Rattus norvegicus: one gene and its partners. The protein of the gene in region 3 interacts with the protein of the main gene of each other region in a pairwise test. Links are inferred from orthologs where the notes say so. Each region holds a gene or a part of one and is shown on either strand. Other genes may lie near its edges.

What was found.
Region 1: the proteins of Atf2 (region 3) and Kifc3 interact in binary tests that used the Homo sapiens proteins (3 or more experiments, as listed by UniProt). The two-hybrid records come from large-scale screens. The link is inferred for Rattus norvegicus from reciprocal best matches to the Homo sapiens genes ATF2 and KIFC3.
Region 2: the proteins of Atf2 (region 3) and Atf3 interact in binary tests that used the Homo sapiens proteins (3 or more experiments, as listed by UniProt). The link is inferred for Rattus norvegicus from reciprocal best matches to the Homo sapiens genes ATF2 and ATF3.

The regions. Positions count from the first base shown.
Region 1 is NC_086037.1:9,903,283-9,909,665, forward strand, and holds part of Kifc3 (kinesin-like protein KIFC3), read left to right. Parts: intron 1-2,088; coding exon 2,089-2,227; intron 2,228-4,371; exon of another isoform or gene 4,372-4,863; coding exon 4,864-5,045; intron 5,046-6,383. UniProt on the Homo sapiens protein: Minus-end microtubule-dependent motor protein. Involved in apically targeted transport. Required for zonula adherens maintenance.
Region 2 is NC_086031.1:105,280,423-105,287,113, reverse strand, and holds the end of Atf3 (cyclic AMP-dependent transcription factor ATF-3), read left to right. Parts: intron 1-1,865; coding exon 1,866-1,973; intron 1,974-3,291; coding exon 3,292-3,489; 3' UTR 3,490-4,677; downstream 4,678-6,691.
Region 3 is NC_086021.1:79,153,275-79,159,657, forward strand, and holds part of Atf2 (cyclic AMP-dependent transcription factor ATF-2), read right to left. Parts: coding exon 6,263-6,383; intron 2,106-6,262; coding exon 1,927-2,105; intron 1,258-1,926; coding exon 1,143-1,257; intron 1-1,142. UniProt on the Homo sapiens protein: Transcriptional activator which regulates the transcription of various genes, including those involved in anti-apoptosis, cell growth, and DNA damage response.

The DNA of each region.
Region 1 (6,383 bases), on a different chromosome or scaffold from region 3:
GCTACGGAGGCCTGGGCTCAGCAGTTCTACTGACGCTCCATTCAGAAGCCGTTAGTGACCAGCTTCCAAGTTCATGTCCTTCCGGCCCTGCAGAGCTCTGCCTTATGGGTACGGACGGACGTGTGCCGAAGTGTGCTCCAAGCACAGGGGCAGGACCTGTAGGTCACAGACTCAGTCAGTCCAGCCTTGTTCCAGCCACTAAAGACCGAGTGGTACCTCCAGGACGCTGCAGAAATTCCCAGCCCCCTTTCTGTGCTTCAGCCAGCAGCCCAGAAATAGTAACCTTTGCTCCTGCCTGAAGGCAAATGGAAACTTCCAACTGTCGCCATCCCTGCCACCCCGACCTCCCCCAGCCTGCAGGAGATAGTGTAGCAGTTGGTTGAAGGGCGGGGACAGAATTAAGCTGAGGAGAAATGTCCTAAATACAAGAGATGGAGGGAGGAAGAGGCTGAGGATGTGGCTGACTAGGCACCTGCTGGGCCGATTTTCACTCTTGCGATTCTTTTTCTAAAAGATTTACTTTATCTATGTGAGTACTCTGTCACTGCCTTCAGTCACACCAGAAGAGGTCATCGGATCCCATTACAGATGGTTGTGAGCCATCATGTGGGTGCTGGGAATTGAACTCAGGACCTCTGGAAGAGCAGTCAGTGCTCTTAACCACTGAGCCATCCCTCCAGCCCTTGCAATTCTTTTGATTGGCCTTTTGATGCTCAAAGTTAGAGTGTAGGTCAGAGAAAGTATAAACTGATGGTAGCTATCCGTGCCTCTTTAAGGCACTTGAAGCATGCCTTGCTTGGTGTTGCCTTTGGTTTGCCCACTGGCACTAGAGGGCAGAGATTGATTAGACTGAGAAGGGAGGGAAACAGCTTCAGAGAGGGAGCAGAGTTTGTCTACAGCCACACAGCACACAGATGACATGCTGTCTCTGTGCTTTACCCTCCCTGTACCAAGCATTAAAGAAAAGGTGTGGCGCCTGGCCCTGGGATGTTGTCACAAGCCTTTAGTTCCAGTGGTGACAAGGCAGAGGCAGACAGATCTCTGCAGCTTCCAGACCAGTCAGGGCTACAGCATGAGGCCCTGTAAATAAAATAGAACAAGATTGACACTTGGCTTGAGACAGAAAGGCATTTTCCCAGATGCCCTGTGAACACAAGCACAGCAAAGCCGTGTCTTTAAGGTAAAACAGTCGAGCCTCAGATGGGTCCAGAACGACCTGGAGCCCTTCCTGATCAGATCCTCCTCTGCGGCTGTGACGTTTATCTCGATCCCCCAGGTTTAAGTTGCTCTTGTTTCCGTGTCCGTGGGTCTCTGTGTGCGCACAGCCCCACACCAAGCGCACACACAGACCCCGCTGCCTGTGAGCTCCCAGTTCACCTTTCATCTGTCTTGTGTATTATTACCCTTAAATGGGTTCACGTTCCCCACACCGTCTGGACCCTTGCTTGGCGTCTTTCTCCAAATGAAGTGCCCCACTTTACCCCTCCACTCACCTGCCCCAGCCCAGCCACCTTTGCCTCAGTCCCTTGACCAGGACATGGGGTCGCATTGCCCCTGGATAGCCCCATGGGACACAGCATGCAAGAAGCAGAGTGGCCGTTCTCCTGGTCAGATGGACTCGTGTGTAGCCTCCTGGTTCTGGGAGTGCCATCCTTAGGTGGGAAGCTGTCTACCAAGGTGTCACAGCAGGCGACACTATGACACTATGGGGGAGTGGCCCTAAGACTGCCGTGTGTAGGCAGGACAAGACAGCCACCTGCATTAAGGCTCGTTAGGAGAATGCTGCTCACATGTTGCTGCCCCCTGGAGCCTGAAGGGATAGCACAGACTTTATCTAGGGGACGTAGGTTCTTAGAACCCCTTTTACCGGTGTGGAGACTGACTGTGGTGGCACCCAAGAATAAATTACTGTCATCTTTCTGTAGGATGTTAGTCTGACTTCTCCGGTTTCCAGGCAAGACTCTTTGTCCACACCTCCTTGGTGAAGACAGTGCTTGGGCCCTGGGACCAGAGTGCTCACAACCCCAGGGCAAGGGTCTCTCCTCAGTGCAGTCCCTTCACGAGAGGATTCTGGTTGTGTCTTGGCAGCAGGCCCTGCAGGACAAGGGGTGCGAGAGCAAGAGTCAGGGGACGAAAGAAGACAGACTCCCGAAGAGGCAGGCGCCGGCCCCCAGGCGGGACCGGGAGGCCCCAGAAGCTGGTGGTACCATGAATGTAGAAAAACCAGGTAAAGGAGGTCAGCCCCACTGTCTGACACGCTCTGGCTGAGCGAGTGCAGGAGGGAGAACTCTGTCCCACAGCTGGAAGTGGCTCAGCCAGGCTGGCCACCTGACATGAACCTGAGACTCCGACCAGCCTCGTCCAGATCCATGGACAGCCATGTGTCTGTCCTCTTTCTTGTCCTGCCCCTTGTCCCAGGGCCACCAGGGCCCCACCCAGTGATAAGACTTTGGCCAGTGGAGGTTGGGTTGGATTTCCCTTCTTTTTGTCTTTTCCCAGTACCTACCTAAAGCAGGGCCCAGGAGCAGCCTCGCAGACGCCACCAGTTCCTTCAGCAAAGGCCTGGCTCTGTTCCGGTCAGAGGATCCAGAGGTCAGGGACTCGTTTCCCTCCCTCCAGGCAGAGAAAACTAAGCCTGCAGTTCCATTATCCCCTGACCACTAGGGCACCTAGAACTAACTGGTTTTCAAAGGTTCTCCAGGTTCCTTTGCTGTCTTCTGGGTTTTCAGCAGAAAGTACTGGCCAGTGAACACAGGGAGAGAACATCTTAGGGAGCCTCGGGGCAAGGCCAGGAGTACTGGGGAGAGGTGCTGTTTTCTCAGAGTCTGTGTGTCTGAACTTGCTGGGGTTGCTGGAGGAGGTCCCTCCCTCCTCTGAATCTGAACCAGTGCCTGTTGTGTACAAGCCCTGGTCCATCTAGATTCAGGGCAGGCATAGGGTGTGTAAGCAATGGGCAGTCAGGTTTTCAAAATGGCTACCATCTGGCCAGCTAGGTGGGGTAAGCCCAGAGGAAGGAAGGCTAGGTCCTCCTAGCTCAGGCATAGCACCTGAGCTCTGGGCCCTGTCGTGGTCCATGCCTCTAGAAACTGACCTGTCAGGTGGTAGCTTCCTCAGCAGGGGCTTGTCCTGCTCAAGCACCCTTGGGCCTCACCTCTCCTCCCTTCTTCCCTTAGCTCAGTCCTCCCTTAGCTTCTTCAAGAGTGTCTCTTCCACTACCCATGACTCTGCAGCTTCCACTCAACTCCTGGCCCTCTTACACAGGGTACCATGCTGTGGTCTGGGGCTCAGAGCCTCCCAGGACAGGAGCGGTGTCATGGATGACACTCATACCTGTGTTTCCAATGGGACTCCAGCTATTTTCCCATGGCTGCTTTTGGGCTAGGTGCATTGTCCCTGTTTCACACAGGAAGAGCCTGCAGGGTCCCTCCCATGTGATTCAAGAGGCAAGACCAGCTCTCAGCCCAGCACATTCGGTCGCGCACCGATGCAGTCTGTGGCCTTACTGGTCACATGTCACCCGTGGCAGCCCCGTGTGCTGGCCTAGAAGCATCGGGCTGCCCTTACTCCCTCTAGAATAGATCACAGAGGCTGGACCTGCACTGTGTGACTTTCATGCTGTGTCACATGCAGGGCCACACAGCTGGGGCCACTTGCCTAGCACGGGTTGTCCAGCCCCAGATCTCGGGGGTGGGGGGAGAGGACACCAGCCCCACCCATGGGAGCCTAGCTTCAGCTGCTCCCTCCCATTTCCCTATACTGCCCTGGGGCTTTGCAGAACTGTGGTCAAGGCTTGCTAGTGGTGGGGGTGAGACACAGGGAGGCCCCTCATCTCTGAGGAAGCCAGAAGCTAAGGCAGCATTGAAGTAGAAGGCTCACCAGCTAGCACTGGACTTCTGCATGCCCAGAATCTTTGCAGGGCCCCGACTTGGGATGCTGAGGGGAGGAGGCAAATTCTTTTCTTGTCCTCCTGGACCGCTATTGGTTCTGCATTACACAGGCCAGGCTGTTCTCCTCTTCAGAGCTTTGGAACAAGCACCACAGCCCCATTACACATCACAGCCTGTCTCTCATCTCGATGACAGAACAGTAAAAGGTGTTGGGGGAGGAGTCGGGCTGAGGCCTCGCCTGACTTGGTATTTGTCTTTCTCTTGTGCCTGCATACAGGCACCATCCTGAGAATGTGCTTAACTCCTTGTCTGTTCCACGTGCTGGCCCATCTGTGCCCTGATCTGTTGCTTGCACACATCCCCTTACCCCTCCTCCACACTCACAGGGACCACGTCCCACAGAACAGCTGGCAGACAAAGCCTGGTCCTCTCTGCTGTGCTTTTTTTTTTTTTTTTAAAGATTTATTCATTTTATTATATATAAGTACACTGTAGCTGTCTTCAGATACACCAGAAGAGGGCATTGGATCTCTTTACAGATGGTTGTGAGCCACCATGTGGTTGCTGGGAATTGAACTCAGGACCTCTGGAAGAGCAGTCGGGTGCTCTTAACCACTGAGCCATCTCTCCAGCCCTCTGCTGTGCTTTTGAGAGATCGAGAATGAGCATGGAGAGCCACTTCTGAGTAAGCCTCTATTCTTTCCCAGGAAATCGCCTGAGTGCAGGCCAAATTTCCTACTTTGAGGGGACTCAGGAAAAATTATTTTCTTAAGTCTTGGTTTAGTCAGTTCTGTCCTCTAGAAACTTTTGCTAAAGTGACTTCCCCAGAGGACAACCCGGAGGTCCTCTGCAAACCCATTTTGCTGTATTCTTCAGTCCTCACCCTAGCCCCAATGGTGCGCTTGTTGTGATGGCTGCCTTCCTCCTCCAGGCAGACCTCCACTGTCCTGCTGATCAGCCACTACTTTGCTTGTAGGTGGGCGGCTCCTTGGCATCGGGAGGTGCTCAAGCCTGTCCGGGTCACCAGGCCCAGACCCCGTGGTACATAGGACCGTGGAGGCCATGTCCCAGCTTCAGGAGGAGCTGGTAGTCCTTCGGGAGAGGCTGGCCCTCCATGACAGTGACCGGCAAGCCACAACCACCCAGCTGCAGAACCAGGTACCTGGGGAGGCAGGGATGAGCAGAGGCCACTCACTGCCCTCTGGAGCAGGTCAGAGGACATTGTCAGGGTACCTAGACTCCACCAGAAGCCAGATGGTGACCCTTTCCTGGTCTAGGAAGATGCTGCAGGGCGAGGAGGTTCAAACTTGGCTTCTTACTGCAACAAGGGCCTTTAGCACCTCAGTATCTTCCCAGCCAAAAGGTTTTCCTCTCTAATTGATTAAATCTACTTGCTTATTAAGGGGGGGAGTTGAAAGTGAACTGCCCAGACTCTCTGGTCTCCCTAGCCCCACTCGCTCATCACCTGTAAGGAGGACGCCCAACCTACCTGACGCCTCAGGCCTCAGATGACTTACGGATTCAAACCGGTACCTAGCCTCTGCTTGGGGTTTTTTGGTGAGCTTTTTGACTATGTGTTTATTACAGTGTTCTTAAGGGATGATCCCTGTAGCTCTGTACCCATTAGCTGTGCTCTGTAGGGTCCAACCCTGTGGAGACATGGCCAGCCTCCTGGGCCTGGAGCTGTGAGTAAACCCTGACTGTCTGGGAGCACTTACTAGTCCTGGGCTAGATAACTACCAGTCTGCGCCTCTTTTCCTCATCTGCAGACAGATAACAGGATCCAGATGTGCTAGCACCTGTCGGGGCAGATGTGGCTCTGGAACTCTGGAAATAGCTGTCTGAGGCTGTCTTGGCTGTGAGGCTGTAGGGAATGTTGTCAGTCCTGTGAGCCCCATTTTCTGATTTCTAACCAGGCTGATGACTATCAGATGGGCTGGCTGTAAGAGTGGACAGGAAGATGGTTATGAACTATAAAGTGTGGTGTCCTGTAGGGGGCTGTCGCTGGACCTCACTGTGGGTTTTGTTGTTTTGTTTGTCGGCTGTTGGTTTTTCTGAGATAAGCTCCCCGATCTAGCCTAGTGTGTCTTGGAACTCACTAACTAGACCTGTCTATCTTGCTGTCACCATGAACGTCACAGTCGATAGTAGCCACCTTCTGGGCACGGTGAGTAATACTGCTACCAACACCGAAGTTCCTGCTTTCAGTTCTTTGGTGTGTATGCCCAGAATTGGGATTACAGAATAGTGTAGGGCTTCGTTCTTTGTTCTTGTTTATTTAATGTTGAGACGTGGCTCTCTTTTCCTTGCTTTTTTTTTCCCCCTTCATTTTTTAAAAGACAGGACCTCACCGTGTGGCTCTGGTTGTCCTGGAACTCCCTGTGTAGACCAGGCTAGCCTCAAGCTTTCAGACTCCTAGAGACCTACCTCTGCCTTCCAGTGCTGGGATTAAAGGTGTGCGCCACATGGCCAGGGTCTTCATTGTTTTAGCCCAGG
Region 2 (6,691 bases), on a different chromosome or scaffold from region 3:
TGTGTGTGTCTCTGTGTGTGTGTGTGTGTGTGTGTGTGTGTGTGTGTGTGTGTGTGTGTATGATTTTTATATTTTTCTGGGACTGTGGCCCTGAGGCATGAAGGATAGAAATTCAGGGTTAGATTCTTTGGGCTTTGCCTCCCTAGATTGTAAGACCTCCATCTCAGTCCATCGTGTCTTCTGATTCAAAAGCATGGGAAAAGGTCAGGAGTGGGTCAGTCATGGCATCCCAAAGCTGGCAGGGTCTGACACTGGGCAGACCTCAGGAAGGTTCATCCCAGATGTACTTTAGCAGAGTACATGGCTGGGTGAGCTCACTGCACATTGGTCCATAGACGGTCAGGATCAGAGTGAACATCCATGGAGGAGCATAGTCCCCAAAGTTGAACATGGCTCTGTCCTCTGAGTGCCCCAGACTTCTGTGACTCAGGAGGCGGCACAGGAAGTCAGTATGATGTGTTGGCTGAATCAATGGGTGGTTCAGGACTCTACCCACCAGTAGCATCCAGCTGTGGGCTTATTCATACCATTTGCTACTAATAATGTTCTCAAGTCCCTCTTCTCCAGGAGCTCACTGGCCTCATGGGAAGGGCGTACCATGATGCTCCTGGTAAAAACACAGATGTAATTTTTCTGTAACTGTGGTCAAATGGTTGACAGAAGCCACTGGAAGAGGTTTGTTTTGGCTCACACAGTTGAGGAGATACAATCCATCCTGCAGGGAAGACAGAGCAGCCAGAGTGGCTCCATGCCCAGTGGTGAGGGCTCGTGTCCAGTGGTGAGGGCTGGTGCTCAGTGGTGAGGGCTGGTGATTGATGGAGGGCTTGTGTCAGTGGTGAGGGCTTGTGTCAGTGGTGAGGGTTTGTGTCCAGTGGTGAGGGCTTGTGCTCAGTGGTGAGGGCTTGTGTCAGTGGTGAGGGTTTGTGTCCAGTGGTGAGGGCTTGTGCTCAGTGGTGAGGGCTTGTGTCAGTGGTGAGGGTTTGTGTCCAGTGGTGAGGGCTTGTGTCCAGTGGTGAGGGCTGGTGCTCAGTGGTGAGGGCTGGTGCTTGATGGAGGGCTTGTGTCAGTGGTGAGGGTTTGTGTCCAGTGGTGAGGGCTTGTGTCCAGTGGTGAGGGCTGGTGCTCAGTGGTGAGGGCTTGTGTCCAGTGGTGAGGGCTGGTGCTCAGGTAAGGGCTTATGCCCGGTGGTGAGGGCCTGTATACATCTTTTTAGCTCAAGAAGCAAAGCTCAGATAGATAAAGTAGGCTTGGAGTTCAAACCCTCCAACACCCATTTTATGCCACAATCCACCCTTGTCAGTCATGTTTCCCACCCCAAAGGTTCCACAACCTCCTCAAACAGCACCGCTCTCAGGAGAGTGTGGCTAAGGGGCAATGTGGTCATTTCTGATTCTAGCTTCAGTGGTTAATTAATTCAGTGGTTATTAATTTAAAATTCAAATTCTTGTTTCAAAGTGCAAATGCATTTTAAAGGCAGGTCTTGTGTCTTTAAAGCAGACTTTAATTTACTAATTTCAAATATAATTCCATTTTACTGAACAGGACTTAGATTTTGTTACTCACATGTGTGAATGCACATGCGTGTGACGGGAGATCATACAAAACCCTCAGGCCCGAGGCCGGAGAGATGGCGCCGTGGTTAAGAGCACTTCCCGCTCTTCCAGGGGACTGGAGCTCCCAGCATGTGCAATGGGTGGCTCACAGCAGCTGCTGATGATCCAACACTGACTTCTGGTCTCTGAAATCACCATGAATGCACGTGGCAGATATATACACAGACAGCAGATATACAGACACACAAGACCCCACAGCACACAAGACCCCACAGCCTTGGTATTTAAATGTGTGCCTTTCGGATTTTATAGGTGGCCCCTGAAGAAGATGAGAGAAAAAGGAGGCGGCGGGAAAGAAACAAAATTGCTGCTGCCAAGTGTCGAAACAAGAAAAAAGAGAAGACAGAGTGCCTGCAGAAGGTGAGTCCCGCCTGGCCCAACCTCCCCTGAGGGGAGGGAAATGCCAGCTGTAGGCAGAGGGTAGAGCAAAGCTATTAGCAAGGTGGAAGCAGGGGGGGAGGGGGGTGTTGGGGATTTAGCTCAGTGGTAGAGCGCTTGCCTAGCAAGCACAAGGCCCTGAGTTCGGTCCCCAGCTCCGAAGGAAAAAAAAAAAAGCATGGTGGAAGCGATTCTGGAGATGTATATGTGTACACATACATACACACACATGTATAGGCATATGTGTATATATATATCCATTTATATATACATACACATACACACACACACACACACACACACACACACACACACACGGCCAGCAAGCTGGCTCATGAGTAAAGGTCCTTGCAATGCATATGTGGCACCCTAGTTTGACACCCAGAACCCGCTGTGGAAGGAGAGAACTGGTTTCTAAACGTGACCTCTGACCTCCACATGCATGCTGTGGCACAAATCCCCAGCAGTTTCTAGACTTGCGGGTCACACCAGCCTATTTAAAGAGACTTTACTCATCAGTTTTAACAAATACAAACTGCAAAGCCCTGCCACTGCCTTTGGCTCTCAGGAAAAGCTTGCATTAATCTCTTCAAGTTACGGTGCTGAAGTGGTGCTTACAGTGCTCCTCCCTGGATCTGAACCCTCCTCTCTACTCCATGCTTATCCAGCACTGAGCACCCTGGGAGGCTGACACCCCACACCAAGCACCAGGGGTACAGCATGGGTTCACAGGCAAGGCAAGCTACAGAGCCTGGAAGTCTTTGCAGGGGCCATGTCTGCTCTCCCAAGTGTGTGCAGGGCAGCTTCTCAAAGAGATGTAAAAGCCTGGGTTGTCTGCTCGCTACTTCAGGGTCAGTGAAAAAAAACTTGGGCAGCTTTGGTGTTTCTGAGAATACGTCTGTGGACATGGGAGTCTTGGTGAGATCAGAAATTCAAAGACAACTCCACACCACCCGTTTGGGTTCCTCGATAGCTCCCACGATCCTGTGGGGCCCAGATGCCTTCCCCACGGGCAGTGAACTAGAGCAGCTCTCTCTGAGCCCTTGGTGCAGTTCCATCGAGCATGGGCGCCCGGCTCGGTGCTGTCCCTAAGCTTTCTTTCACGTCTCCCAACTTCAGAGCCCTCTACAGGAAACCCTGTACCTTCCACCTTCCACCTAGTTTGGTCCTCCCATCCTTGTGGTAGGACGGTTCTGCTAGCAGGTCTCAGTCTGGGGAGCCCCAAGGATTCCAGGTGGCCCCCCATCTCCCTGCCCCTTGGCTCCCTCCATAATGCTGCTGTCTGTTGATCATCCCTCAGGAGTCAGAGAAACTGGAGAGTGTGAATGCCGAACTGAAGGCCCAGATCGAGGAGCTGAAGAATGAGAAGCAGCATCTGATTTACATGCTCAACCTGCACCGGCCCACGTGTATCGTCCGGGCTCAGAACGGGCGGACGCCGGAAGACGAGAGGAACCTTTTTATCCAACAGATAAAAGAAGGAACATTGCAGAGCTAAGCAGAGGTGGCATGGGGGCAATTGGGGAGTCCTTACTGAATCCTCCTTTTCCACCCCAAACCCTGAAGCCATTGGAAAACTGGCTTCCTGTGCACTTCTAGAATCTCAGCAGCCACGAGCTGTTGGGTCAGGAGGGCCTGCGGTGACTACTGCGTTGTCCCACTCTGTCCCCGAGTGAACCGTGGAGCAGGCAGGAGCATCCTTTGTCTCACCGGCTCCAGGATTTAGGCCTTACCATCCCGGCCATTCTCAGATGACCTAGCTGGCCCCAGGCTGGGGTCCCATGCAAAGCAGGATCGCACTAATGGGATGCAGGCAGAAGTGTCTACCTTGACAGGTGGGGTGGGACCACGTCCTCCACTGCGGCTGACAACATCCCTCCTAGGGAAGATGGAGTGAGAACATTCATCATTGAAGTTGTCCAATGGCCAGGGTATGCTTTCTAGAAACTATGCTGTTCTGTCCTAGACTGACTGTGCATAGGGCATTCATTTCTGAGCCTGGTGTTGTGCTATTTAGATGTTTGTCTTGCACAACATTGGCGTGATTTTTTTCCGGGAGTTTCATCAGACCTGATTTCCGAGAGTTTGGGGGTCTGCCACTGTGGACAATATCCCCCAAAAGTGTTTGGGTGGCCATGTAAACTGGCTGATGACCAGCTGTGCTACTCTGTGCTGACCGAGGACTGATGCCTCCTTCCCCTGTACCCACTGCTGAGGAAGAACCCGGGCACAGCAGCTGTCCTTGGCTACAAACTGTTACAATGTCACAGAACGAAGGCACAAAGTCCCGCTTTCAAAGGGCGTAGGACTCCACACTCAGTGACAGGGCAGGAAGAGCCAAGGATTCTCCGTTTTCCCTTCCTTCCCACCAAAAACCACAGCCCGTGGAGACTGGTATTTGAAGCCAGGAGTGGGGCAAGGAAGGTGTCTGCACTGTGGGATGTTAACTGCGCTTTTGTCTTGAAGCTATTTTGAGATGCGGTCCAGAGTATTTCAGCTGGGAGGTCCCTCCCACTGGCCACCAGGGCTCTGGCTACTGTTAAAATTCTGATGTTTCTGTGAAATCCTCAGTGTTCAATCCGACTCAGTAGTATATTACAGTTTTCTGTAAGAGAGAACGTTACTTATTTATCCCAGTATTCCTAGCCTGTCAACGTAATAAAATATCAGAATGAGACCTGGTAAACCTTAGCGTGGCACTGGTTTCTGCTGAGTGTTGAAATGGTGATGATGCCTTTCTGTCATGGGGTGGTCAGCACTGAGTGTTTGGGGACGGATGGCTTCCTTCGTTCATGGGGAGACCACTAGGTAGGGCAGTTAGTAATTCATATTTTATGTGTATGGGTATTTTGTCTGCATGTATGTCTGTGTGCCACGTGCATGCAGTGCCTGGGGAGGCCAGAAGAGGAGGGCATTGGGTTCCCTGGAACTGGGGTTTCAGAGGGGTTGCAAGCTACCATGTAGTTGCTGGGAACGGAACCCAGATCTTCCCCGAGAGCACCAAGTACTGTTGTTAACTGCTGATCCATCTCACCACCTCCATTTATTTTTATTTATAATCGTGTGTGTGTGTGTGTGTGTGTGTGTGTGTGTGTGTGTGTGTGTGTGTGTGGTGTACATGAATGCAGTTGCCCACAGAGACCAGAAGAGCTCTTAAATACTGAGCCAGCTCTGCAGCCCAGGTGGGTGACTTCCCACTCCGTGCCTCTCATTGACAAACCCCGAAACAACGCTACAGGTGTGTCCTTCAAGCCACCTGTTTGGTGCTAAGATAGATTTTCGTTTGCTTTGAGTCAGGGTCTCAGTATGTAGCCCTAGGTGACCTGGAACAGAGTACACAGGCCAGACCGTTCGCTGATCTGCCTCCGGAATGCTGGTTCAAAGGGGTGCACCACCATGCCTGGCTTATGATAGAATTTTGATATAGAATCCAAACTGCTAAGTAGTTCAGCCGCCAGTTTCTCTGAACACAGAAATACACCTAAGACATGCACTTTTTTTTTAAAAGATTTATTTATTATATAAGTACACTGTAGCTGTCTTCAGACACACCAGAAGAGGGCATCAGATCCTATTACAAGTGTTTGTGAGCCACCATGTGGTTGCTGGGAATTGAACTCAGGACTCTGGAAGAGCAGTCAGTGCTCTTAACTTTGAGCCATATCTCCAGCCCTTTTTTTTTTTTTTTTTAGCTTGAGAGATTTTTACAAATTGTGTTTAGTTTGGAAGCAGATGGGGCATATGTGCGCTAAAGAGAACAGCTTGGAATCAATCTCTTTCCGCCATGTGGGTCCTCGGAATTGAACCCGGGTCATCAGGCTTAGCAGCTGCACCTTTCCTGGCTGCACCGGTGGCTTTGTCTCAGCTGGAATCTATTGAACTTCCCTAAATGAGTTTCAGCTTGACTTAGACATGTTAACATCTGTTAGCATCTGTGCACCTCATAGCACATACGTATTTCAAATACCAAGGATGAAGAGGGTGGGGAAAAGAAGGCGAGAGAACAGTCTTGGACAAGATGGAGGGTGGGTAGGGTTGTTCCAAGAACGGTAATTCTAATTTTCTGGAATTTCCTGGCCCAGTGATTTCTCCCTTCCCCTCTCCCTTGAGACTTCTCCCTCACTTTGCAGTTCTGGGGATATACCTAACCCTCCCTTCCCTGGCAAACCACAGCCCTTGAATGGAGGACTGGGGACGATATCTGAGAGTCAGTTCTTTATTTCTAGTCACATGAGTCCTGGAGAATCAACTTAGGCCAACAGGCTTGATGGCAAACACTGACCGGCCAGCTGAGCCAGCTTGCCCTGCCGGCCCATGTGTCTGTTTATTTGAACCGTTATGTGATGCCTTTAAACTATCGTATGTCACAGATATGATTGTATGTCTGGCTGTTCCTAATCAGTAAAGAGCCACTCTTACTCTTTAGCCACTCTGTATCTTAATAGAGGGGAGGAACAAGCAAAACAACACAACATTGTCTTTATCCCTTGGTTGTGGGTAGAGGTTCTACTATGAAGCCAAGGCAGTTTAAAAACTGCCACGGAGGGCAGTGGACTAGATAGGAGGCAGAGGGATGCTTCCGGTGGTCTTTAAAAAGAACTGCATGGACGTGTGCCAGCCACCGGGCCTGTGACTCCCGTGCTTCAAGTTGAGGCAGGCAGGCTAGGTATCTGAGAGAATAAACTTAAACAGGGCCATAT
Region 3 (6,383 bases):
TGAGCCATCTCTCCAGCTCTTAAAGTATTCTTTATGGGAAATTATTAAGAAAGTCTCAAACATGCTGTATCATAAATGATTTGGGGAAAATGAAAATAGTATGCTTTGGACAACTCTGCTAGATATCTAAAAGTGCTTTTCAGAATGAAAATGTTAAATGTTGAAGAATAATTTGAAAGTATGAATAATACTATTTTGTAAAAAATGATATGAAAAAGAAAATTTTCATCACTTCAAATACTGTGCTTTTAAATAATTGTTTTTTTCAATTATGTGTACGTGTGTTTCTCTATGTGTGGGCATATGCACTGTATGCAGGTGCTCATGGAGGCCCAAGTTGTCAGATCCTCTATAGCAGGAGCAAGTCAGTTGTGAGCCATTTAAAATGGGTGCTGGGAACTGAACTCATGTCCTTTACAAGAACAGTACAAGCTCTTAACCACACATCTCCAACAATATGTTTTTAAATGTTCACTGGACAACTCAATATAGTTAATCACCTTTTCTTTTTTTTTCCAAAATTTGTTTATTTAGCGAGTTTCTTATAAAACTTCTTTTGGATTTTTCTTACAACAAAGTAGCCCAGGCTGGCCAAAAATTTATTATTTAGCAGAGGCTAAGTATGAACTTCTGATCCTATCTCTGCCTATTGACTATTGGGATTACTGTCATGTGTCATCAGGCCTAGATATTAATGTTTAGACCTTAACATGCTTGGGCCATCAAAGAAATTCAATAAACTTCATGTAACCACAAAGGACAAGTGTGTTTTTTTCTAAAGAACATGTATAACTATAAACACCATAGCTATTTGACAAGTGTTCAAATACAAATACCTTAAAATAAAAATTAGAAATATTTGAATTTCACAAATCTAGTCAAATCGAAGTGAGGTGAATCAAAAAATAGTACAAAAAGAAAACAGAAAACAAGTGTGGGCAGGGAGGTAGAGAAATGTTTTCTATCCAATTATGTTTGCCTAGACTCTCATAGTATCGATAAATAAATATTACTCCCCGTTAATAAGCATTTTGATAAATTCCATTTAGTAAGCCAATCAAGCAGTTCAAGTATATTTTCTGGATATTTTACCAAGACCAATTTTGACACAAAGACTTAAATGGTCTAACTTTCCAACTTACTGGGACTGCAGCTGGAACATGCACATTAGAACTTGTAATTGATGCAGGAATAGCAACGGGCATGGTTTGTCCATTAGGAAGATGTAATAGAAGAGGAAATGGGCCTGGTACAGGACTAAGAAAAACAAAACAAGGGAAAAATGTAAAGATCTATACCAACCACCTCTGTAAAATAACAGTCTTTTCCCTCCTATTACTTAAAAATAAGTTTTCTAACCTTCAAAAGGCAAATTCCAAAACTTAGATATTTTTAATTGCATCTTAAATGCATAATCTATGTATGAGTGTTTAAAAAAAGCCTTGGGAGAAGTCATGGATTTCCAATTTGTGAAACGAGAACATTTCTTATCAGAAAGGTCTTTGGAGTTACTTTTAAGAACTGAGACAAATGTCATCTTGAAATGAGTAACTTTGTTTTGTGTCAAACGGCATAAAAATAAGACCATCTTAAACTTATAGTCTATGTTCACTGTTTTAGCTAAGATTTAGATATTTATTGTCCAATGTGTCAGATATTACTTTTTAAAAAATATTAAAGTTTTCAAAACCCAAAACAGGCAGATGGTGCTCTTGTGCGCGTGCGTTCTCTCTCTCTCTTGCGCTCTCTCTCTCTCTCTTGCGCTTTCTCTCTTGCCCTCTCTCTCTCTCGCGCTCTCTCTCTCTCTCTCATACACACACACATATGCACAATTTAATTCACGTAATTAAATATCCTAGGGAAAAACCATAGTAAGAGAAACCCTAACACCTCCCGTGCAGTCAGTGGCTGACTGGAATCACTTACACAATTGGCCTGTTAGAGGATGGTGCCTGGGTGATTACAGTACTTGAGGTTGGTGAAGGTACTGCTTGTTGAATAATTACACTTGAGTCAGAACTTGTGAGCAGCACATTGGGAACCTGTAATGATGCTGGACGAACGATAGCTGATGTGGGCTGTGCAGTTTGTGCCAATGGTATTTCCTATTTAATTTTAAGATAAATAAAGGGCGGTATTTAAAAACGCAAGTTAATTCATGTACCTCAGTGAACAGAATGTAACACATTTCTGAAAGCAACCACGTAATGCCTCTACAAGTAAATTAATATCTAATGTTAATAGAAAATATCTAAGCAGTTCTAAAGTTCAAATACCATTCTAAAAATTTAAAAAAAAACATGTTTTGTTCAATATGTCTTTTTATCACTCTAAAATAAATTAGGCTGGGCTACTTAGCAATGTTTTTGTGAGAATTTTAGTAAGAAATACAAATACAATTTACTCTGGGTAATTAAAAAACAAAACTTGGAAGGGGATTTTCCTTTCCTATTTGTTTATTATATTGCAAAGTCAAGAAACTGATCCAGCAAGGTAGTGCTATGACAAACAATTTGGTGTTTAGAAATGTGTCAAGATGTGGTGGTAACACACACCTTTGATCCCAGGGAGGCAGAGGTAGGTGGATGTCTTGAGTTTGAGGCCAGCCTGGTCTATAGAGCAAGTTCCAGGACAGCCAGAGCTAAACAGAGAAACCCTGTCTCAAAAACCAAACCAAACAAAGGGACATGTTTTAAGACATTTAAACTAAAAAAAAAAAAAAACAAAACAGTCTGCTGATCTCAGGTAGTTTTTCATTTGGTAACAATAATTTTCTAGTATTAAAAGACCAAGTAACACTGATACGTGAGTATATAAAATTAGTAGGTACAACTTCCCAAACTAAAGAGAAATAGAATTTATGAATCAGCCAGGATGAGTCTTAAAATATTTCCTAGTTTTACAGATTACAAAAGAGATGAGGGCTTTACTCAGAACTCCTTAACTATTCTGTCCCTTTGAATTGTCCTTTATATAGCTACTATCAGTTGGAGCCTTATTAAGATACTTCCAAGGAGAAATTGGTAGCATTGTAACTACGGTTTTCAGCACATCTAAAAGCTTCCAACTCAACAATTGGAGAGCAGAGTGACAATGAGTAAAACCATTACAGAAACTTCTATCAAAGTAGACATTAATCGTTCAACGATAATGTAGTAAGTCAAATGATTTAGCAGAGGGAAAGGTAGAGCTTTAATAGTGAAGGAATAAAACCTTGCCAAAAAAAAAAAAAATCTGATCTGATATGAAAGAATCAAGAGGAGGACAGGCTGTAGAGAAGGAAGTAATGCTAGGCAGGAAAAACCTTAAGAGTATTTGATCAATACAGAGAGCATGAAATGAGGATGGAGGGATAGACAGTCAAAACTCAATGAGGTTTTCCCTAATGAATAAATATACATTGTCGTTGTCGTCAAGAGCAAATTACTAAAAGACTTTCAGTAGAGAGAAGAATGACTCAAATTTTTAAGTTCGCAGGTTTGAAACAAAGTTTAGCCTGGTATGGTTGGCATGAAGTTATACAGTCCCAGCAACTTGGGAACTGTCACAAGAGTATTAATAATATGAAACTACCTTGGAAAACATAAAGAAACTGTGTTTTAGAAGAAAAATAAAGGGATGAGGAACCTTCAGTAGTCTGGAGTACATGTTTGGGGTTCTCGATTCCACTCTCAGCACTGCAGTAGGAAAGGGAAGTAGGGTAGCACTGGTACAAGTGAAAGATGACAACTAGGACAATGACACTGAACAGAGGAGGTTTGAACCTTATTCAAAACATGCTTGGTAAATGAATACACTAAGATCGGCTACTGGTTTCAAAGACAGGTAGAAAACATAAAATTAAAGTGACACCTAAATGTTTTGCTTAAATAAGTAGATAGATGCAGATTTCCCTTTCTTTTTTGTGGGAAAGTGCAGAAAGGGTATTGGGAGTGAGGGGTAGGCCTTGCTACACAGCCCATAAAGTTTTAGTAGCATAGGCTAGCCTTGAATTTCCAATACTCCTGACACTACCTTCCTAGTGCAGGAATTACAAGGACATACTACCATGTATAGGTGGAGGAAAATTTCTCAGAGAAAAATGAGGTCAGAACTAAGAACTCTGTTTCAGAAATACTCAGATGTTCCCTAGACAAAGCTAAGGAGATGCCAACAGAGAAACAGTGTTCAGCAATCAGGAGAGATACCTTGACTATTAGAAATTTGGAATTACCAATATATAGTTTCTAAAATTACAAGTCTTGATGGAATTCCCTAAAAAGAAAATGAGAACAGAGGAGGTCCTGAACTGATTTTCTCAGCGCAGTGAAACTATGAACTACCTAAAAGGAACTAACGACTAAGGAATGCAGAAGCAGCACCCCTAGAAGATGATACACAAGCCACAAAGAATGAAAACTGGAAAATATAAAGGGAAAGGAATGCTCTGCAGGGAAATAAGACTGTTCTCAGGATCCTTAATAACTATAATAAATGTGGAAATGACCATATGTTAAGAAAGAAGAGAGTAATTAAATATACCAAGATAATAATGAAGAATAACCATAAAAACTGTGATTTGGGGATATCTAATGCTTAGCTTCCAAGAATTCTAAGTTAGGGGTTGAGAATATAGCTCAGTGGTTGGGTACCCGCTAGAATTTCAATTCTCAGTACTGGGGGAGGAGTAGTATAGAATAAGGATATAAATAACGTATTAATATTGTATTCCTATACAATCTATTTGTGATTCACAATGAATGTTATTAGGCAAAAAGTTAAAAAAATGAGGAACTTTATTAAAGTTATAGTAATCCAGGTTAATCTGCTATTGAAAGAATTAAAAAGATATTTAGTGTAGTCTACATATGTTTGTATAGCCTACAGTATAAAGTGATGTCTCAGGTTTTCACATTCACTTTATACTATTTCACTTAATCCAGCAGTGTAAATTCCACTCTCTCTCTCTGGTGTATACGTGTATGTCTGTGATATGAGTATACCTGTATGTGTACATGTTTGTGTGTGGGGATGCAGGCATGAACACATAAAGGCCAGAGGACAACCTTTGGGTGTGACTTCACCTTTGTATCTTGTTTGACACAAAATTTCTTTGCCACTGTGTAAGCTAGGGTCAGGTCTATGAGTTTCTGGAGATTTTCCTACCTCCTCCTCTTATCTCTCCTTAAGGGTATGAAGGGTCTACAGGCACTAGTGCTACTGCATCTGGTTCTTATGTGGGTTCTGGGAAATCGAAACTCAAGTTGTCAGGCTTATGAAGCAATTTTTACTTACTGAACCATCCTCCCAGTCTGCATTTTCAATTGTGCCTTCTCTATGTTTAAATACCAGTATGCTGTAACTACCTACATGGTCCATATAGTAGTATCAAGTAGTACAGTATAATCTGGGAATGACAGCCTGTAATATACTAAGTTACATTAGGCTATACTGTCTACATTTGTGTAGACATACTCTGCTTTGGAAAGAATGATGAGACTGCTTACTGAAACTACCTTACCTTTTTTTTTAGAAGCTATATCCCTGTCAGGGGTAAATGACTATATTCTCATGACAGAAATCTATTCATGTTATGATTTTATAAGAATATTTAAAAAGGACACTGTCACTGTCTTTTTATGTGTAGACAAACTGCTCATATATAAATTTGCTCATTTTATGTATTTTTCAAGTGAAAAGGTGATGAAGAACACATCATAATGTAACTCAACTCAATACTTAACTATAGCCCAGGAACCCCAAGTTACTAATGTACTTAAGGAAGTACCAGTCATTGTTAATATCAAATATATACTGGAGTAATAATTACTCACTCTTGGATATCCTGGTTCAGCTGTATACATTTTTCTTATCTTCAAATAACACTTTTTCTAAATAAGTTGTTCTCTCCTTTAATATCCATTGTTTAATAAAAATAATTATGAAGATGGAATTTTCCTAAAGTATTCACACAGGTTTTTATATATAAAACCTATAATCTTCCATTAAATTATATAAAATTTAATACCTTAATGTCTCATACAGATTTAAAATAATCAAGTTCAGGAAAAGTGAAAGAGCATGGTAGATAGGTGCTTACCACCAAGCCTGAAAACCTGAGCTCGACACCTCGGACCTACACAGCATAAGGAGAGAATTGGTACCTACAAGTTGTCCTCTGACCATCACATGCCATGCATACCCACAAATATAAACAATAAATAAAGGCATATAATCTAAAAAAAATAATTTTCTGAAAGGTTATCTTTTTCATAGTTCTAACCTTTTCATCATTGGTAGTAGACTCGGGGTGAGGTAACGGGCTATCCTGGTGAGTTGTTTCTACAACAGAAGGTTCCTCAATTTTGCTTCTTATGATGGGTGTTGCAAGAGGGGACAGATCT